Linked DNA regions of Coturnix japonica. Each later gene encodes a partner of the first gene's protein in a complex. Links are inferred from orthologs where the notes say so. Each region holds a gene or a part of one and is shown in the gene's direction. Other genes may lie near its edges. The genes, in order: NFS1, ISCU and LYRM4.

Region 1 (6,542 bases):
GTCACTGTTGCAGTCCATGTAGTTTGTGACACAGGATGTACAGAGGGAGAAGTCACCTTTGCCGTATTCTCTATGGTATTCAAAAACAAAAGTCCAAAGGCTGAGCCTCCCCCTGTGGGACTTGTGGCTGGCCTGCTAATCCAGGGGAAGGAGTTCTACAGCGTTGAGGTGGAAATCAGTGTGGGCACCTCAATGAATGAAACATCTGTGCACAAAAGGAGCAGAGGGCTGAACTTCATCTCCTCAGGGGTTGTCAGAAGTTTGGGCAGTACAGAGCCCTCCAGTGATGAAGTGTTCTGGGAGAAACTGAGCTCCTCCAGTGTCAGGAGCTCTGGGAGTGCAGCTGTAGAGCTGTATGGATGGTGGAGGGGAGCTTTCTGGAAAGCACTGTGCTTCTATCTGTGTTCAACACGTTTTTCTCCATTGAGGTGTCCAAGTACATGTTTGCTGGGGTAACAAATGCTTCCCAATCTCGGAGTCCCTTTGCATAATTGCAGAACTGTGGATGTGTGCTGCATGCATCCAGCTGTCTCCTTGTTGTCCAGGGGTTGGTGCCATCTATGTTCGCCGGCGGCCACGTGTGCGGCTGGAACCGCTGCAGAGCGGGGGAGGCCAGGAGAGAGGGCTGCGATCGGGGACTGTGCCCACACCGCTGGCTGTGGGCCTGGGGGCTGCGTGTGAGGTGGCACAGGAAGAGATGGAGGTACGTGGGAGAGCACGTCTGACCCGGGTGCCAGAAATTGGTGGTAGGTGGTGGGTTGTTGTTTTGTTCTTGATCAGAACGTTCTGTTTGCTGGTTCTGCTGTATGTGCTGCTAGTGGGACACATGAGTGGAGGTGCTTCCTATGAGGCAGGCAGGGATCCTATGGTTACTGAAGCCTTGTTGGAAGCTGAAGAGCCCTCGTATGGTCAGTGCTGCAGGAGCCTCACATCTGGAGTCTTTTCCTGCTCTGTCAGAATTCTGGCGTTTAAAAAGAAAACATATTAGAAAGGTTGTTTCCTTTTAAAGGTTTTTTTGGAGAATGTGACCAGGTTATTGTAAGCAAGGATGAATCAGATGTGTGTGTCTGTCCATTTCTGAGCACTGGAGCTGATACCTGACTGCTTTTTTAGGGCAAGTGACATCGTTTTTAGTCTAGAATGAGACTCAGCTCATGGGCAGCTCTCATTGTGGAGGTTACATGTTATAAAGTCACGTGATGGTTGAGTTCACAACTCTGCCATCATGTGGTGACTCATCGTGAGTCCATGTTTTATGGAATACACTTTGAAAGCTCCTAGGCAAGCAAGGGACGCTTCTACCATAAAGCTGCCCTTGGTTGTGTTGCAAGACAAGTCATTTAATGTCGTGTGCCTGGCTTGTATTGAAGCACAAAAACTTGGCACTTCTCTGAGAGCTGTTTGTAGATGGATTTTTCTGAATTATTTGTAACGTTTTGAAGGTTGAAATAGCCTTCACAAAAACCCGGCAGTTCTCTTTTTTAAGTGTTGGTAGAATTAAGAGTGTTAAAGTTCCCTTTTTAAGGTTCAGATGTCATATAACCACACCCATATACTTCAGTCCATGTACAGCTGGTGGCACTGGGTGGTTCAGTGAGCTCAGACTTGCGCTGTTGCTTTCTTTGATCTCTTTCTTGGTTTCTTTGCCAGTATGACCATAAGCGAATCTCACAACTGGCAGAACGGCTTGTTACGAAAATAATGAGCGAAGTTCCTGATGTGGTTATGAATGGAGACAGAGAGCATCGTTATCCAGGTAGTGCTGGAAGAATCCTGACCCTGCTAGAAACATTTTTGTGTATTTTGTGGTATTGATGGTCATGGCTGAGTGATGCGCTGTAGTTAACCGTGGTGTGAGTGCTGCCATGTGGCGTGGGGTTTCTTGTGCATTTCATTTGATGGGAGTTCTTCTTTCTATTTCATTTATTTTTTGTAGGATGTGTCAATTTATCTTTTGCGTATGTGGAAGGGGAGAGTCTTCTCATGGCCCTGAAAGATGTGGCTCTGTCTTCAGGAAGGTAGGTGGGATGTGTGGGAAGGGGAGCAGCATATTTTGGAGAGAAAATAACGTCTGCTAATAGACTTACAAAGTAAGGAGGGATCTGCTCTGTGCCCGGTGTTTGCTGGGTTGGTTGGTGAGTCAGCCTGGCATTGGCTGCATTCTGGGGTGGTGTTTATGTGAAGCAACACGTTTCTACTGAAGGTCAAATTTACTCATCCTGAAAGCAAAAAAATTAGAAATTCCCACCTGCCAGCTTTGCAGACTCGTTTTGTGTTGTCTGGGTAGACTTAAATCGTAACTGGTTGTGACATTCATTCTAAAGGCTGCCACCATTGGGGCTTCTGTCCTTCAGCAGCATTTCACACATGTGGCAGATCATGACGAGTATCCACTGCGGCTGGACCGATATTGGAATTTACCTTAGTTAATAGAGTCTGTATTTAATGTAAAAGCAGAAAGGAAACTCATTGCACTCTTAGAGAGCTGTATTGACTCTACAGGAGCAACATTTCTGCTATGAACACCAGCTTCGTGCTTACAATGAAGTTAATGAAGTGCCTTCCTTTTCTCACCTCTGAGAACAAAATCAGAAGTGCGTGTCTTAATTTGAAATATGTTGGTATTATGAACAAGGAGAACAAGTCTTCACATGCACTGGCCTTTGCAGTCTCCTTTAACATGAAGATCTGTTCTGAGTCTCTGCTTCATGCACTTGTTTTAAGCAGCACTATGGTTTGTGCTGCAAGTTGCTGCCTGTTCAAATTGAGTAACACCACGTAGCCAGTTTTGCCTCCTGCTCGAGGACGGAGGTTCTGTGTCCTCTACCATTCCTGGGCCATCTCGCTGCAGATTCCTCTGTGCCTGTTCTTTATTACTTCGTAATGCAGCCAGGCAGCAACTTGTGAAATCTTTCTCTCTCTTTTTAATGTTCCTGTTGATGGGTTGCTTTCCCTGGGTAGTTCTGCCTTGGCTCTTTTACCTTCTATACACAGCTTCTACTTCAACTGCCTCTTGGGCTGCAGTACTGCTGCTTCTGTTTGGTACTGTATTAATACATAGTGTTATCTATGCATTCTCTTCTTTACTCCTGCTCCTGACTTACCCTTCGTTTCCATGTCATATCTGCTCCTGTCATTCTTTAGGAGCAGAGCTACTACTCCCCTTGCTCCTCTCTCCTTGTGTTCACTAGTTATTTCCAAGTGGGTGAGGAACCTTATTGTAAAGGTTAATAATATTAGATGTGTAAGTGACATGTTCTGTGTTGGAGATCGTGAAGTGTAGCATCTGCATGTGAATTTAAGTGTGAGATTGGCCTTTCTTCCCTTTCCCTTTCCCTAGTGCTTGCACATCAGCTTCTCTGGAGCCTTCATATGTTTTGCGGGCAATTGGAGCAGATGAAGATTTGGCTCATTCCTCTATCAGGTGTGTGGAGTGATTTTCCTGTTGCTTCCAGATATGTTTCTTTTCTGCTGAAAATTCATGGTGAGTTTGTTTCACTTGTCCATATGCACACCGTTCCAGTTAGTAATGCTCTTCCTTTGTTTTAGATTTGGCATTGGTCGTTTCACTACCGAGGAAGAAATAGATTATACAGTTCAGAAATGCATACAGCACGTTAAGAGGCTGAGGGAAATGAGGTGAGCCATCTTTTTGTGGAATCTGGAGACTTCTTAGGTATGGTAATCATTTGTGGAACTGGATTTAATTGAAAGAAGGTGTCTGCTTTAAAAACCTGCTCGTATCTCTGCATGCAAAGAAGTGTTGCCAGAGTGTGTGGTGGGCTTGATCTTAACTGTAGTGAAAAATGTTTAAGCAAACAAACCTGTCAACAAGCCATTTCCCAGAGCCTATCCATATGAGGAAGTAATGTGAGTAGAGCAAGCATGGAGAATGGCAACTCAGAGTTTATAAGCCAGGTATAGTATTACTGCATGTATGTATACACTTCATTTCCTTCTGGGGAAACTGAAGGATCTCTGACTTATCTGGGCAGTGTGAATTGTGAGGGCTCAGCCTCTAAGAAATGTGCACTTCGTGCCTAAAGTGGGAGCAGGAGATGAGCACCTGCCTTCTCCCGTTTGTGTTTTGTGTGAGTACAACACTGGAGATTTGTTGTGTGAAGTTCACTGACCTCCAGCAGGGCAGGGCAGATGGATACGCCTGAATTTGTCATGTAGTTGGTGATGTCGCCTGTTTGGTTATTGTTGCTGATGTTGTTCTTTGCATTTTAGATAGCACTCATTTTTTTTTTCTTTCTTCTTTACAGTCCTCTTTGGGAAATGGTGCAGGATGGAATTGACCTCAAAAGCATTAAATGGAGTCAGCACTGAGAAAACAAGCTCTCTCCGTGGACTAGACTGAAGTGGATTAAGATGTATTTTCTGTACATTCCCGAACAAAAACATGCAGCACATTTCAGCTTGTTATCATTTGCAATTTAAATGGGAAGCTCCCTTTTCTAATAATAGCCTAAGAAGCCAAAAATTGAACTAGTCTGTATGCTGGGGAAAGGCAGGATGACATAACAGCCTTTGCATTGATATTCATACGCTGCAATTTATGCTGAGATGTGCTCTCTTTGAAAATGTATTTTGCAATGTAAAAAACAAAACTGAGGAGTCCTGGTAAGAAATAGCTCGTTCTCAGCATAAAACATCCTGTGTAGCTGTTCTGTTTGCAGCACAGAGCTGTAGCTGGGCTGCAGGTTCTCCTAGAGGCAGCCTTGCAGCTGCAGGTGCTTTTGTGCTGCTAAAATGTCTCAAGAGAATTTTTTGTGTAGGAAGAAGTTTGGCATTTCTAGAGGAAAAGGATGCCTCACTGTGGCTACGTGCCTTCACAGTTAAGTTGTATGTGGAGTTATGAACTCTTTTTTTTCCCCCTAAAATTTAATACTTTTTGCTCTTTGTGTGTGTGTGTTTATGTGCTGCTTGTACAGACCGGTGTGCATTTGTACCAAACACTGTCTGGTGTTACGGAATTTAGGATACCTTTATAATGCACTTTGCTGTCCCCTCTGTTTGTTTTTTTCTACTCAGTGAAGAAAGAAAACTTGAATGACTGGGAGAGGAGGAACAGAACACGCCGGCTTCAGTTGCAGTACCAGTTTAGTTGGTACTCCATTGGTGGAGGGGGGGAAGCACATAATGTACAAGGTCTTCTGGTTTTGTTCTAGTTTTGCCTTTTTTTCCCCTTGTAGTGAGTCCTTTGCTGTTACTGTAGTCTTTGCCTATGGCAATTGGCTTCTGTCACTTCTGGGAGTCTTGCTCAGTGGGCAAACCTGGCTGTTCTGTCAGTAGGTGGGAACATGTGGCTCTGGAGTTGTTTCTTTGTGTGCCGGAGCTAACTTGTCCTGTTAGAGGCTTCCATGGGAATCCATTCCCTGCGAATGCTGGGGAAAAGTGTCTGTTAAAATGGGTTTGATTAGATGAATTTGTATCAGAATTTCTCCTTTCGTACCTTTGGTGGTCTTTCCAGTAGGAAATTTTACCCTGTATTACGAAGTGCCTTTGTAACAGTTGCATAAGCAGACAGCTCTTAAATTATTTTCTTGGTTAATGGATGCTGAATTTAGTATACATTATAGACAGCATGTCATCAGTTCTGAGTAGTATCTACCTCGAGGATGCAGCACTGTATGGAAAAGGTGAAGCTAAGCCTCACAGAGCGGACTGAATTATAGAATTGTTAATTTTTCTGTTAAGGACGGATTTGGTTGTAATGCAAAGCTAATCCTGAATGGTTCTATTTGAAATTACTAGCCTTAGCAGGTTTGATATTGTACGACTGATCGGCACCTTATGTTTCATCACCATGTTTTAAAGCTCTCATATGCGTAACTACGTTTTAGAGGCATTGTTTGTATTATATTTTATTTTTGGGTCATGTGTGGTTTCTGGGTTAAGCATGTGCTAAGAATTCCCCTGCATGTTTTAGGACTTTATGTTTGTGAATGTGTCATTTGTGTTTCATGGATGACAAAAATATAGATAAGGCTTAAACGTGGCTACTATGAGTCTTTGTAGGTAATTATAAAGTTGAAGTAAATCAAGAAAAAAATGTAGAGCACTACTTTTGCGGATCCACTTCTCCGGCTCAGCTGTTGGGCACGATCGTTGAGTCGCCAATTGCAGTCTCTCATCAGATGCCAGAGGCAGATAAGTTTGTTTGTGAACACTGATACAGGCTCTTTCATCCAGCTGACGTTTGACTTCTGTTGAGTTGTTCCTCTCATGCTGAATGTCTGATCTGACCTAATAGATATAATATATATTAATAAAACTCACCTCGCTTAGGCTGTGATTACTTGGAGAAAAGGAAACACAGACTGTGAAGGTCCTTAGTGCCTCTCATGTACTGTGATATATAAATGCTACATGTAAAGGTTTGGGTAGCTCATTCGCAATATGAAACAATGTTTGAAAATGCAAATAGGTCAAGAAGAGGAATAATTAATAGTGGAGATAATTCTCACCCAGGAGAGAACACAGAACTAGTAATGCTGAATATCTGTTTTAGCTGTGTTCCCTGCAAGTTTGAACTG
Region 2 (6,642 bases), on another chromosome or scaffold:
GTGGGAAGAGTTCACTCATCTTCTGCCGAGCTCTTCTGAGCTTCACCAGCTCTCCCTCTTGGCGGAGCAGCTTTATCAGATCCAAGTGGCAATTGTAGTCAAAAGCATTGATGGAAAGCTTTAAAGAAAATAAAGGAAGTTTTTAAAGGCTTGCAGAAGTCAGCAAATACTCAGCAGAACAGAACTTTACACACTGTTTTCTATGTGTCACATCCCTGCAGTTCTTGAACACCTCCAGGGATGGTGATCCCACCACCTCCCTGGACAGCTTGTCTCAATTCCTGACTGCTCTTTTGAAGAAGCAGTCATTCCCAATACTCAACAAGAACCTCCCCTGGTATAACTTAAGGCCTTTGCCTCTTGTCCCATCGCTGTTATATGGGAGAAGAGAGCAACTCCCACCCTGCTACAACCTCTTTTCAGGGAGTAGTGGAGAACCATCCTACAATTCTGTGATCCCCAGCTCCCTCAACCTCTCCCCATATAGCTCGTACTCCAAACCCTTTACAGCTCTGCTGCCCTACTCCAGACATGCTCCAGGGCCTTGATGCCTTTCTTCTGTAGTGAGTAAATTAAACGCAGCACTTAAGATGCCTTGCCTTCACCAGGGCCAAGTACAGACAGACATTCACCTCCCTGCTCAGTTACACAGAATCACAGAACTGTAAGTGACAGGAAAAGGCAAAGTCCTCTGAGGATCCCTCAGTCCAACCCTCCCCCCAGCAGGTAGCATTAGAAAGCATCCCAGTGGATCCTGAGCATCTCTAAAGAAAGAAACTCCACCACCTCCCTGGGCAGCTTGTGTCAGGGCTCTGTCAACTTCACAGCGAAGAAGTTATTTCTCACGTTCAGATAGAACTTCCTGGGTTCCAGTTTGTGCCCACTGCCCCTTATCGTGTAGCTGGGCATGGCTGAAAAGAACCTGGCCCCATCTTCACGATTTCTACCCTGACAAGTGCTGCTCCCTCAGCCTTCCCTCCTGCCTCAAGGGCAGCCTCAGGGCTCCTCAAATAGAAGCTGCAGGCCCCGACCACCTCTGCAGCCCTTCATAGAAGATCCCTGTTACTAAAGCTGGGCTTTAAAGTTCTGCAGAAGACTGAACTCACAGCCCTAAGGCCCGAGAGCCCCCAAGTACAGACACAGCGCTAACACCCAGTGAGCCCTCCTCAGCAAACGCGTTTTAATTCCTTCAAGATCACTAAGGAAACCACCATCTGAGTTCACTTTCAACATACCAGGGCTGCTCCCTGAGTCTCTCTCGCCCTGAAGCGAGGAATAAAAAGCGAATTAAAAGGCATCACGCCCGGAGGCGTTTCCAGATCTCCATAACCAAAGCACGGTACAGCCGGGCCCCACCTGCTCCTCCAGCCGCTGGATCTCCGCCTCGTTCTCCTTCTCCTCATCCTCGCCGTCTCCTGATGAATCCGAGTCGCCTTCATCCTCCGAATCCCCCCCCGACTCGGGGTCTCCCTCCACCACACGCTTCTCCTCCTCCACCGCCGCCTCGGCTCCCGCCGCCGCCATCTTGTTGCAGCTCGCCTCGCTGCCGGCCGCTCTCAGCCAGCCGATGGGGTTGGCTACTGCGCGCCTGTCTCAATATTGTACATTCCCCCCAGCCAAAAGCGGTGAAAGAAAGGACGATAAACTCTCCCGACAAGGTTCTGCTCTTCTCCGCGTCCAACTGCCACGAAAAGCCGAGCAGCTCGGCCCGTTACTCCTTATAATTTAGTCTGCTGCAGAGGCAGCGCCACGGACACCTCAGGGCCTCGGCCTCCAGGGGTCCTTCGGGAGGGTTGGGGCAGAGCGCCGCTGCCAGGTGCGGGCAGACTCAAGATGGCGGCGCTGAGGGCGGCGGGGGCGGCGCTGCTGCGGCCCGGGCGGGGGGCGACGGCGGTGGGGGGGGCGGGCTACCACAAGAAGGTGAGAGGGGCCGGGTAGGGCTGTGGGGAGCCCATAGTGCCCGTTGGGGGTTGTTAGTGACACGTTGTTCTCGCAGGTGGTGGATCACTACGAGAACCCGCGGAACGTGGGCTCTCTCGATCGCAACGCAAAGAACGTGGGTACGGGCCTGGTGGGAGCCCCGGCCTGTGGAGACGTTATGAAGCTGCAGGTGAGGGGAGCACGGGGTGCCCTGTAAGGACACAACCATCAGTGTCTGCCACCATATGGCTGTGACATAGGATTCCTCCGTCACACCCCCTTTAAGCCCCTCTGCAGGCCCTAAAATCCAATAGACCCCCAGCCTTAAACTCGCTGTCCCTTTACGCCCCTCTGCAGATCCTAAAATCCAATAGACCCCCAGCCTTAAACTCATTGTCCCTTAAAGTCCCTCTGCAGGCCCTAAAATCCGATAAACCCCCAGCCTTAAACTCGCTGTCCTATCGCTGTCCCTTTGTGTGTGGTTCCTACGTGGAACTGAGCGCCCCTCTGATAACTCCCACAGGTGGAAGTGGATGAGAACGGCCGCATTGTTGATGCTCGCTTCAAAACCTTCGGTTGTGGTTCTGCCATCGCTTCCAGCTCCTTGGCAACAGAGTGGGTGAAAGGGAAGACGGTAAGGGCTTGGCTTAAGGGGCACAGTGGGGAGCAGGTACATATTCACACCCACTGCTGGGATCAGGGAAGGAAACAGGGGTCTAGAGAGGTGCTCTCCAGGTGTTACACTCACATAGAAGCTCAGAATGCAGTTTCATCTTTCCTGACTTTTAAAGCAATATTTGCCTTTTCTGGAAGTCTCCAATAAGCTGTGAAGAAGCTTTGGGTGCTACACAGCAATCGAAAATAGATAAAGAAAGCACTTGTATAGTGGAATGTCTTCCATTGGCTGATCTCCGTGTGCTTGGCATTGTGACAAGCAGGTTGTTTCTATATTACAGCAGAACAAACCTGGAACAGTCCCTGCAGTTGGTCAGCAGTAAAATAATGCTCTGGTTTATTAACAAGCACTGCACACTTTGAGACATTCCTTATATTTCATAGAATCAGGGGTTGAAATGGACCTCTGAGTATCACCTAGTCCAGCTCCTCTGCCAAAGGAGGTTCCCTGTAGTAGGTTGCAGATTTGTTGCTTGGCAGGAGCAGAATAAAACAGGTATTATTGAAAGGCCTTTCTTATGGTAGAACACTATCAGCAGCTTTTACTGCCTTCTCAGAGCGTGACTTTGGTTGGTTCCAGTGCTTTGAAGCACACCTGTATCAAATACCTGCGTGGTGTGTGGGCATCATATGTACATGTGTATGCCTGACTGATGACTGTACCCTACCCATACATTTCAGATTGATGAAGCATTGAAAATCAAGAACACAGACATTGCAAAAGAACTTTGCCTTCCTCCGGTCAAACTGCATTGCTCTAGTAAGTAAAGCATCAAACACGTTGTTATTTGAGAACACAGATGCTTTTGTACGTTCTCCAAATAAAGCTTTGCACACATAGCAGCTAAGGCTGACCCACAGTGGTGGTTATTGCTGGCTGCTTCTGCTTGTACTGCATCTTTTGTTCTAAGTGACTTGTCACTGTTATTTAAAGTGCTTGTAAATGACATTGTTTTGTGCTCTTTTTCTCCCCTAGTGCTGGCTGAGGATGCAATCAAGGCTGCCTTGGCTGACTACAAACTGAAACAGGATCCAAAGAAAGGAGAGTCAGAGCAGAAAGCAGACTAATTCCTAAACAGACTGTAGAGGTTGTCCTCATTCCAGTTCAATTTGCAGTGCAATTATTCTAGCTGTTAATAGAATCCTGTGCACTACTCAAGAAGCTGTAAGATACGCACAACTCAACGCACAACGTGTCACTGGTCATGTGTGTACAGCCACCCTGGTAGTGCTTAAATGACTGGAACGTGGGTATTTCAGCAGCCTGTGTCCTGTCAGGATTGGTTTTGAAATGGTGAGAGTGAAGGGCTGCTCTGCTTCAGGGCAACCCCCCGGTAGCTTCTCAAGAGAGAAAGAATCCTCCTGTTCCAGCATTGGAAGGGCTGCACTTTTTTTCTTCTGTATAGTTTTGCCTAATGTTTTACAAAGAGTTTGGTGGGAAACTTGGTTGCCTTGGTCTTTATGTGGGTCACTTTGTCAATCAATACAGTATATATAAATCTCATGTGGTTTGGCTGCAGCTGTGTTGGAGTTTGGTTTCACAATCTGTGACCTCTCACATGCTGTCTATCCCCTGCGTCACGCTGCTCTCTGGGAGGAGCTGGGATGCTTCACCAGGCACTAGAGGGCACTGACTGTGGGAGGTGAGCAAATAACAGCAGCTGCAGTTGGTTGCCAGGAAGCTCAGAGCCAGCAGCGTTAGCAGGACATGTTTGTGTTCACATCCTCCAATAGCAGGAGGGTTAATGTTGGAGCATCTTTTAAAAGCATTCAACCCTTTAGTTTGCCAAATACTGTTAAGGGAGATTAAACACACGCTGAGGATTCAAACCCAGAATGCAAATAGCTTAACTGGGATGTAATACTGAGGGGAACCTCCCTGGAAGAGCAGGAGTCAGCCTGTGCCCTCTGGGGGTGTCTTCTGAACTTCCCCCATCCCTTCCAGGGCAGAGAGAGCAGCCAGTGCTCTTGGTACTAAGCCAGGGGCAGAAGGGGATCCTTACCTGCTGCTGGAGCTGATTTTGGATGCTATTTCTGATAGCTTCTGTTGTTGCCTTTGGTAGTTTTAGGGCTGGATTCTCTTCATTTGTGGAAAGAAACCTCAAAAACACAGCCTGGCAGATACCTCCCCCGAGCAGCTCTGTGTGCACAGCTAAAGCTGCTCAAACTGCTTCGCTGGAGGAGTGAGTTATGAAGAGAGCACAGGGGTAGCACTCACCAAGTGGAGGATTTGCCCACCCACCACATGAGCTGGGCTCCTTGGGAGCGTGGGGCACAGAGTCAGTTCAAAACAGGCGTTTTATGGCCACACAGCATGGCTTACCCTCTGTTCTTTAGACCACTGTGCTCCCCTGTGCCTCACAGCGATGGCTGTTTTCCAAGGGAGTGTTGCCACAGATCTTCAAATCAAAAGAAAATGCACTTAAAAACCTCCCTTGCTCTTATAACATCCTCACCCCACGCCCCACCCTATCTTCCTTTCCAGTTTTCATACCTATGATGTTGCACAGCTGCATTAAAAACAACATTCAGTAAAAATAAGTGGCTCGTTCTGGTTTCTGTCTGCAATGTAATTATTTTTTGAGTTATTATTTTAAGTTGTTGTCACTCCTGTTTGGGGGAATCCTTTGGTTTCCCTGCAAAATGCTGTCAGCTGGAGTAATGGGGATATATTAAAAGCATAGAGCGACATTGGTAAAAGGATGTGAGGTGTAAGGATAGATGACAGCAGATACAGTTGCTTTAAACCCAAGAAAGGTAGTGGTCACAATCCAGTAATAAAGAAAGAATTGCTCACCCCATTTCCAAGGATCAGGGCTCATCAAATGTGACAAAGGAGCCAATCTCCAGGTAGAGATGCTTCCTTTGTGGCTGCCAGCCCTTAAATGAGGTTAAGGAGGGGTGGACCCAGGTGAATTGCTTCCACCTGTGCTCCCAGGGCTGACTACACCCCTTCACCAGCTGCTCAATGATTCAGCCCATGGCCTAACAACTCCCATACATGAGGATACAGGGTTGTGCTGCCTTCCAGGTACATCAGACACTTGCCTTCTATTAGCACGCCCTGCTGCAGGACAAAGCACGTGTCTGAGTTCTCAAAGCAAACCAGTGTGAGATCAGGAAACAAACCTGTGTGCATCTCCCCAAAGAGGATCTCAGGCCAGAGCCCTCCCCACTCACAGTGCTGGCTGACACCAGATAAGGGTTTCTGAGAATTGCATGCAGATTGTGCAAGTGATAACAGTGTCCCCTGGCTCTGAGAGCGTCACCAGCAGCAAGCACACAGCTGTAGGGAGCATTACTCCCCTGCCCATCCTCATGTCCTCAAGCTCTGCCAGGGAAGGATGGCACTGAGCCCACGGTTTGCCTACCCTGACAGCTCCAGAAACACACATGAGAGGAAGAAATGTGCATAGTAGATGTTTTTATTCATAGCAAAGGGGGTTAAGAAAATAAGGCAAAAGTCCAGCTCCTTTCTGAGATCCATTTGCTGTGCTTTCTGAGGGGTCTGTGACATTCAGGGCTTGCAAACAAAAGGACGGGGTCATTGTTGCTGCATCCTCTTCCCTCCTGCTAAGGTTGGCTAAGGTTTTCCCTTTCTTTTTCTCACCAAAACACATCTAGAATGCCTCCAATCTCCACCAGGCACTGCAGGGTTGGGGGTTGGAAAAGGAGGATGGGAGCAGCTGACCCCCTCATCAATCCAAGGGGTCTGCAATGTCCCCGGGCCCCCATAGAAGGTCTGTACTACCAGCAGTCATGAAGTCATGGGTCATGTTTCCTCCATGCCCTATTGCCTGGGTGTGGGCCAGGTTGCAATAATGAGTGAAAATAACATCTGCGAGAAAGCTGTGCAAGGACGGTGGGGAGACCCAGCCTGGGCTTTTCTCTTTATTTTTGGGGGGAATCCAAGGAAAGCACCCATGGAGAAAGCACAAGCAATGGGTTTGGCTGCACTGAGCACCGCATCAGCCCAAAGCGCGGCTCAAAAATGGCCTCCCATGGCTGCATGGGGTCGGGGGGAGGCATAGGAGGGGGAGTGGGGCT
Region 3 (6,642 bases), on another chromosome or scaffold:
CTACTAACATACTAGTAACTATTCCAGATACCCATATTACTGGATTATTCTCAAATTGAGGAAATGTCCACAAGTTGTACCAGAGGAGATTTAGATTAGACATAAGGAAAAACCTTTTCTCTCAGAGAGTGGTCAGGCACTGGAATAGCTGCCCAGGGAGGTGGTGCAGTCGCCATGCCTGGCAGTGTTCAAGATGCGTCTGGATGAGGAGCTACAAGGTATGGTTTAGTGGCTTGTGGTAGCAACGGTAATGGGAAGATGGTTGGACTGGATGAACTTGTAGGTCTCTGCTCTAAAGTGGTTCTTCCTTTCTGAAGTCAAATAAAGGTTACAACATGAAGGGGAGACAAGAGAAGACTCTCTTTTCTTTGGTGTGTTTCCTTTACATTTGATAGTACACTATTGCTTATTTTAAACGTAAATTTTAAACATTATTATGCTTATTTTATCATATAACCATTATATAACATTATTATGCTTATTTTAAACATGATAAGACAGGGCAAGTTTAGGTTGGATACTAGGAAGAACTTCGTTATAGAAAGGGTAGTTAGGTACTGGAATAGGCTCCCCAGGGAGGTGGTTGAATCTCCATCCTCGGATGTGTTTAAGAGCCATTTGGATGTGGTGCTCAGGGATATGATTTAGTGTAGGGTTGTTAGAGTTAGGGTACTATGGTTAGGCTGTGGTTGGACTTGATGATCTTCAAGGTCTTTTCCAACCTGGGTAATTCTATGATAAAAAGTTTTTATACTTCTTAAAAAAAATGGTCATAAAATAAATAAATAAACAAATAAAGAATCTCAATCACTGTCAAGGACATTCAGAAACAGGATTAACACCCTAAGCCATTTCTAAATCACCTATAATTACCTTACAAATATTAAACCAAGTGCTCTTGCAACCAAAATTTACCTAATACCTTTTGCTTTCTTCCTAATTACACTCCCACATCTTCCATAGCTGATGGCTGTACTATCAATATTCTACTTAATGAAAATAATAAAGCTTACTCTAAGATTAGATAGAGCCATTGCCACGCTCACCTACAGAATACCTTCATATAATTTCTCTGAACTCTCAAAGCTAGGTTTCGTTTTGCACATGACATCTTTTAAGCTGCCTGAAACCCATGACCAAAACAAAGGATAGGGTTGCTGAAATCTATGGATTAAAACTGTTCTGCTTTAACACATATTAAGCACCCCAACTGCTGAAAACTACAAGGATGGGGGAGCACTGGTAATACATGTAGATTCTACTATTGGCATGGCAGACTGGGCTAGCAACATAGCTTGGGCTACAAGGATTCAGTCCTCCACCCAGCGTTCTTCAGGTTCTTTAAATACAGGGTTTTTTGAACCATGCATTCAGCAAAGTTTTCTGTTTGTGTTTCCAGAAGGCCAAAAGCTGGCGTAAAAGACACTGTAAAAGGAAGGCCTTGACAACATGACGCTCATTGTGATGTCTCCATTGCTTCTATTTTCCTAAAAAAAATAATAAAATAAAATAAAAAAGCATTTCCTGTATCATTTCTAGTTTGGATTTGGACAAAAAGAAAACCCAAGAAATCTGGAATGTGTGGAAAATGTCAGTTTCCAGAAGCCTAAAAGGGCTTCTCTAATATAAAGACCACATGAGCATTCATGCAAAATATTTGAGACACATCAGTGATATTAATTATACTAGGAACTACTTTAGTTTCTTTATTATGAAATAATTGCATCACATGTACAACTGACACAAATAAAATACCCATGCATACATATACAATGAGTTTAATTAGCAGCAATTGAAATACTTTTAGAATTTAGAATTGAAATACACACTTAGAATAAATATAAACATATCCTATTTACAAAATGTGCCATGAAGTAAGAATATAAAGAATTCATATTATAATATTGTCAACACAGGTAGGGCAACATATATGTTAAGTTACAAGGCCAAATTTCTTCTGTAGTGGCAAAACTTTCATCAGAAGGGGATGCTATGTGTTCCCAGCAGGAACAGTACCAGGATGCCTCAGGCATAGAAAACATTAGAGGTGATTATGTAGAATTTGAGTCTCAGCCTTGCTGCAGAGAATAAAATCCAAATAAACAGGCAGAGCCTATTTAAAACTGTTCAGGTACCTGTTGTTCTCTGGGACTGTGTAATACCAAGGCAGTGTGTATATAGGCTGCTGCCTGGGGACTGCCCTCTCCAAGGCCTGTTCTAACACACGTGGGCCTGTGCATTAAATTAACAATAGCAGCACTATGGCCATTTCTCACAGCTGTAGAGGAAGTTAGGAATATGATAATGGGGGTTTCCTCTTGCAAATATAAGTGCTGAGGCAGGAAAGAACTTGTTAATATCCCTCAGAAGTTCTCACTTCTTAATTCAAACAGCATCTGAGCTGAGTAAAACAAGTATGGTTCTAATAACAGAATTCAACTCCAAATGGGGTGTTGAAGGGAAGAACGATTCACAGAGCACAGAATAACAGAAGGGCTGATGCTGGCAGGACCCTGTGGTCCATCTGACCCAATCCCAGCTGCAGCAGGGTGCCCAGAGCAGGGGAATCGGGCTCCTTACTCAGGCAGCTTCCAAGGAGGAGATTAACAGCCTCTGGGCAGCCTGTGCAAGTGCTCGTCAGCACAAAACACAGAAGTGCTGCCTGGTGCTCACAGCACCGGGCAGCAGCAGGCAAAGCCCATGGTGCATTCAGCCTCTATGACTGAAAACGTGCTTAGAAAATACAGATCAACGACCCAACGTTATTCACCTGCTGCTTACTTCCAGGCCCGACCCCAACCCCAACCTTACACCGTTCAACTTCGCACAGCATTCACCCCTCTCCCTCCGCGTTATTTACACTCAACGCCTGCTTCCTCCACGCACCTTTAAGGCCTCAAACTCACACAACAACGCAAAAGCCGCACGTACAACCGAGATCCACGCTGCACCAGCACAAAAACACCCCACCGCCCAACTCGGGGCCGCCTCACCGGGCCTAGGCCGTCGGCATCTTCCCCACCCAGCAGCATAGGCCAGCCCTAAGGCTCAAGGCTTAACTCCTCGCAGGCCAGACCGCCACTCACCGCGTCGTGTCGCCGGGCGCCGCGCATTGAAGGCCGGGTTCAGGAGGCGGCTCCGGGCGCCGCGGGCGGGGAAAAGGGCCCGGGCGGGAGGAGCCGCTTTGAGCCGGCAACATGGCAGCGTCCAGCCGGGCCCAGGTGCTGCGGCTGTACCGTGCTCTGCTGAGAGAGAGCCAGCGATTCAGCGGCTACAATTACAGGTGCTGCTCCTCGTGGAGGTCGGGAAGGGGGAATAACGGGGAGTCTCGGGGTGAGGAGGGTTCAGGACGTTTTCTCTTCGCTCCCTGTGCACGTTTGTAGCTGGAGGACATGGGTGGCTCGGGGCACCTTGCGAAGGGGCAAGCGAAGGGCTGAAGCTGACTGCAGGGAGCTGCTCTGTCGGCTGTCTGAATGCTGCGGGCTGAGCCTGTGCTGGAGGAGTTCCTGGCTCACACGATGCAGTTTGGGTGCAGTGTGAGGGAGCAGGGCTGCATATGGTGCCGTGTAGCATGGCTGCTTGACTGACTGTCTGCTCTGGACAGTGCTTTTAGTAAAGGGCAGCCGGCTGCTGCAGGCACAGGCCTAGCTGTGTGCGGGTCCCTGCTGCCTTGCCCCCTGGCAAGGCTGCTTACCACTCTGTGGTACCACGGAGGCACGTGAGATACCTTCGCTGTGAATCATCTCCAGGCCTGCAAGAACTGCTGAGCTGGAAACAGAAGGTTTTGAACTGGCATAACCACAGCAAGTTCTGTGACCCTTAAGGAATATGTGTTATTTCCTGTGTCAGAGTGCCCTGACAGGAAGCCTGAAGTGCTGGAACTCCTAAGCCCTTATTGCTAACTCCTCAAGTTCCCCTCTTTCTGCCTTAGCTCTCCTACTATTGAGCCTTCTTCCTGCCCCAAGTGCTTAGTATTATGTTGAGCAGCAAGGATGTCTGAATGCAACAGGGATGGCATGAGGCTGTGAGTGGTGGTGCGCAGCTCCTAATCTGAATTACATTATTTCCAGCTGGGGTTATCAGTGCAGAAGTTGTGGATTTAAGGAACTATTAGGTTCTCTCCTCTTCTGTAAGCTATACCCAGAGCTTAGGTTCTCCCTACAGAGAGATATGTGTCTGAGGGGTCTAAACCATGTGGATGTTTTGGCTTATGGTTAAAAACTGGCCATCATACAGCATCAGGTGGACTAGTGAGTGTTTTTATGCTAACAAATTTTGCAGCTTGGAAATCAGAAGGTACATGTTTACCTTGGGTATTAGCTATTTCTTGGTGCTGTGTTGGGGTGCATGCTTTCACTTTCCTTAAGAAAAGATCTCAGTTTTATATATAGACCTTTCCTTAGATACTATAAAACCAGTGAACGTGTAAAATCATAGAATATCCTGAGTTGGAAGGAACCTACAAGCATTATTCAGTCCTGCTTCTCATAGGACCACCTGAAATTCAAACCCTGTGTTTGAGAGCATTGTCCAAATGCTCCTTGAGCTCTGGCAGCTTGGGTCTGTGCCCACTGCCCTCTGGTGCAGACCCTGTCCCTGACCCCCAGCTGCCCCTCCCCTGGCACAACTCCATGCTGTTCCCTCGGGCCCCATTGCTGTCACACAGAGCAGAGCTCAATGCTACCCCTCTGCTCCCTGTGAGGAGCTGCTGTCACCATGAGGCCTCAGCTCCTCTGCTGTGGGCTGATCAAACCCAGGGATCCCAGCTGCTCCACCTACATCTTGCCCTGTGGACTCTTATCCACCTTTGTAGCCCTCCTTTGGATGCTCTTTTAATAGTTAAGGGAGAGCCCAGTCTGGGAGCTGCAGCCCAGGGCTGAGTACTGGGTAGGCAGAGAGAGCCCAGGGACAGTTGGGACAAGTGCCTGCTTCTCGCCCAGGTGCTTTTGCTTAGAGGTCATTTACTACTTTATACCAAAAGTATGCCTCTCTAAGAGAGTTTATGAACACCAAATGCAATAGCAGTTTCTAGCAAGAAGCAGTAGGCAGCTGTTACACCTAGAGATCTGCCACGAACACAACAGCCATCCTGCATTGCTGTTTCTTTACACTCCATGCACCGCTAACATGGGCACCGTGTGAGCTGCTTCCCTGCCCTGATAAGCAGTTCTCCTGCGTCCTTGTGGCTGCTGTAATGTGATATTAAATTTCTTCCAGGGCATGGCAGTGACTTTGTATACAACTAGTTTGTTGTGAAGAAATAAGATAAATCATAGTGATTCATGTTTGCAGCTGCAGAAATTCAGAATGCTGTTGCAAGCAGTGCATAAGTGTGCATCTGAAGGATGGTCCGCTGGTCGTTGTCTCCATGTTTGCTTTCTGTGCTTTTTCTCTTAAGTGTATGGGTAGATTGTGATGTAAAATTGAGTATTTTTGCTCTGTAAGCATTCTAGTAATTCATGTAATACATTTTATTCTGCCGCCCAGCAGAACTTTTAGTGCTGTAACTGTGAAGAACAGCGTTAAAACCTTTAAAAAACAGAGGTCACCGCTGACTGTCTGAGAGTAACAGCACACAGGGTTGTCTCTGGAGTCCTGCACTAAGTGTTAAGGAGACTTCTGCAGCCCAGGTGTGCTGCCAGATTTTAACATCAGGGGAGAACTTAGCAGACAGTAAGTAATTTCATGTCTGCCATTCTGCTCTATCAACCTTACAGACAATCTGAAGAAAGGAACTTGATTTGTACTCCTGGAAAATCAATATATGAAGAGGAAAGGTGTCAAGTTTTCAGTCAAGAAAGGTAGTTCGTAATGAGGGTATCCTTTTTTTGGTATGTTTGACAAAAAGGAGATCCTCTGATAGTTTGTAGTGTGATAGGTTACGATCTCAGGAGGAGGTGGCCTCTGCTATTTAAATGACAAATGAAATTCTATTTAGATTTGTTTTAAAATGCTTTTGTTCGGCATTAAATATATATATATACAACTCGTGAAATGTGTTTTTAGTGGGGATGCTAAGTCATGGCTTGAAGCAGTGACTGAGCACCTGGTGGGAAGGCAGGGCCAACCCAGGGGAGCTCAGGTATGAGCTAATCCTTCCCAGATCTCATTTAAGGGTTGGCAGTGGAAGTAAGGATTTTTTGCTAGAGATCCCTGTTTACCTGAGGCCTTCCAAAAGTAGTCGGATTCTTTCCTTTATTTCTGTGTCTAGAGCTTTTGCATTTGAGCAGGTCCCCACTTGCTGTGGCCTAGGACTTTGCTGCTCTGCTGTCATTGCTGCTGTTTCCATCATGTAACAGTGTTACAACTGTTAAAACAACTGATTGCAAATAAGGATCAATATGGTTGGATGGTTTGTTTGTTCCTATTTTGAATGAAAACACAGTAAGTAAGCACTCAGGGCTTTTACTATGTAGGGCAGAGCATGATCTTAAAATGCTTTTAGATATTAGAGCTGCACTTCTGAAACATGAGTTGGATTTCTGTGGTTTTGCAGTAGACTCCATATATAAATTAAATGTAAACAGTGTTTTTTTAATTTCTTTTAGTTAGTGACAGTGAGCTAATAAGCCCATAAATCCCATTGGATAGGAAAAAAATCTCTTGTTGTCAGCACTGTTGAGATTGGCATGGCCATCTAGG

The links.
Region 2: the proteins of NFS1 (region 1) and ISCU are in contact, whole or in part, in a crystal structure (PDB 6W1D), measured with the Homo sapiens proteins. The link is inferred for Coturnix japonica from reciprocal best matches to the Homo sapiens genes NFS1 and ISCU. Residues at the interface, in NP_066923.3 of Homo sapiens: Tyr360, Val361, Glu362, Glu364, Ser365, Leu367, Met368, Ala369, Lys371, Glu399, Asp400, His403, Ser404, His429, Arg432, Leu433, Glu435, Met436, Ser437, Pro438, Leu439, Glu441, Met442, Trp454, Thr455; in NP_998760.1 of Homo sapiens: Tyr35, Val40, His42, Tyr43, Glu44, Val49, Gly50, Ser51, Leu63, Val64, Gly65, Ala66, Pro67, Ala68, Cys69, Gly70, Val72, Lys74, Phe90, Lys91, Thr92, Phe93, Gly94, Cys95, Gly96, Ile99, Lys135.
Region 3: the proteins of NFS1 (region 1) and LYRM4 are in contact, whole or in part, in a crystal structure (PDB 6W1D), measured with the Homo sapiens proteins. The link is inferred for Coturnix japonica from reciprocal best matches to the Homo sapiens genes NFS1 and LYRM4. Residues at the interface, in NP_066923.3 of Homo sapiens: Leu56, Arg57, Pro58, Leu59, Pro68, Leu69, Pro71, Arg72, Leu74, Asp75, Leu78, Glu314, Tyr317, Arg321, Asp372, Arg412, Phe413, Thr414, Thr415, Glu417, Glu418, Tyr421; in NP_065141.3 of Homo sapiens: Phe23, Tyr26, Asn27, Tyr28, Thr30, Tyr31, Arg34, Arg35, Asp38, Val65, Arg68, Gln69, Ile72, Thr78, Asp79, Lys80, Leu81, Ile82, Ile83, Asn85.

Annotation. Positions count from the first base shown.
Region 1 is NC_029535.1:929,637-936,178, forward strand, and holds the end of NFS1 (cysteine desulfurase, mitochondrial), read left to right. Parts: intron 1-545; coding exon 546-703; intron 704-1,650; coding exon 1,651-1,756; intron 1,757-1,936; coding exon 1,937-2,018; intron 2,019-3,340; coding exon 3,341-3,424; intron 3,425-3,549; coding exon 3,550-3,639; intron 3,640-4,268; coding exon 4,269-4,332; 3' UTR 4,333-6,284; downstream 6,285-6,542.
Region 2 is NC_029530.1:5,667,988-5,674,629, forward strand, and holds ISCU (iron-sulfur cluster assembly enzyme ISCU, mitochondrial), read left to right. Parts: upstream 1-1,821; 5' UTR 1,822-1,833; coding exon 1,834-1,920; intron 1,921-1,996; coding exon 1,997-2,110; intron 2,111-2,443; coding exon 2,444-2,554; intron 2,555-3,276; coding exon 3,277-3,355; intron 3,356-3,571; coding exon 3,572-3,663; 3' UTR 3,664-4,114; downstream 4,115-6,642. Other genes in the region: SART3 (squamous cell carcinoma antigen recognized by T-cells 3), read right to left, coding at 1-118, 1,357-1,524.
Region 3 is NC_029517.1:63,952,921-63,959,562, reverse strand, and holds the start of LYRM4 (LYR motif-containing protein 4), read left to right. Parts: upstream 1-3,180; 5' UTR 3,181-3,197; coding exon 3,198-3,301; intron 3,302-6,642.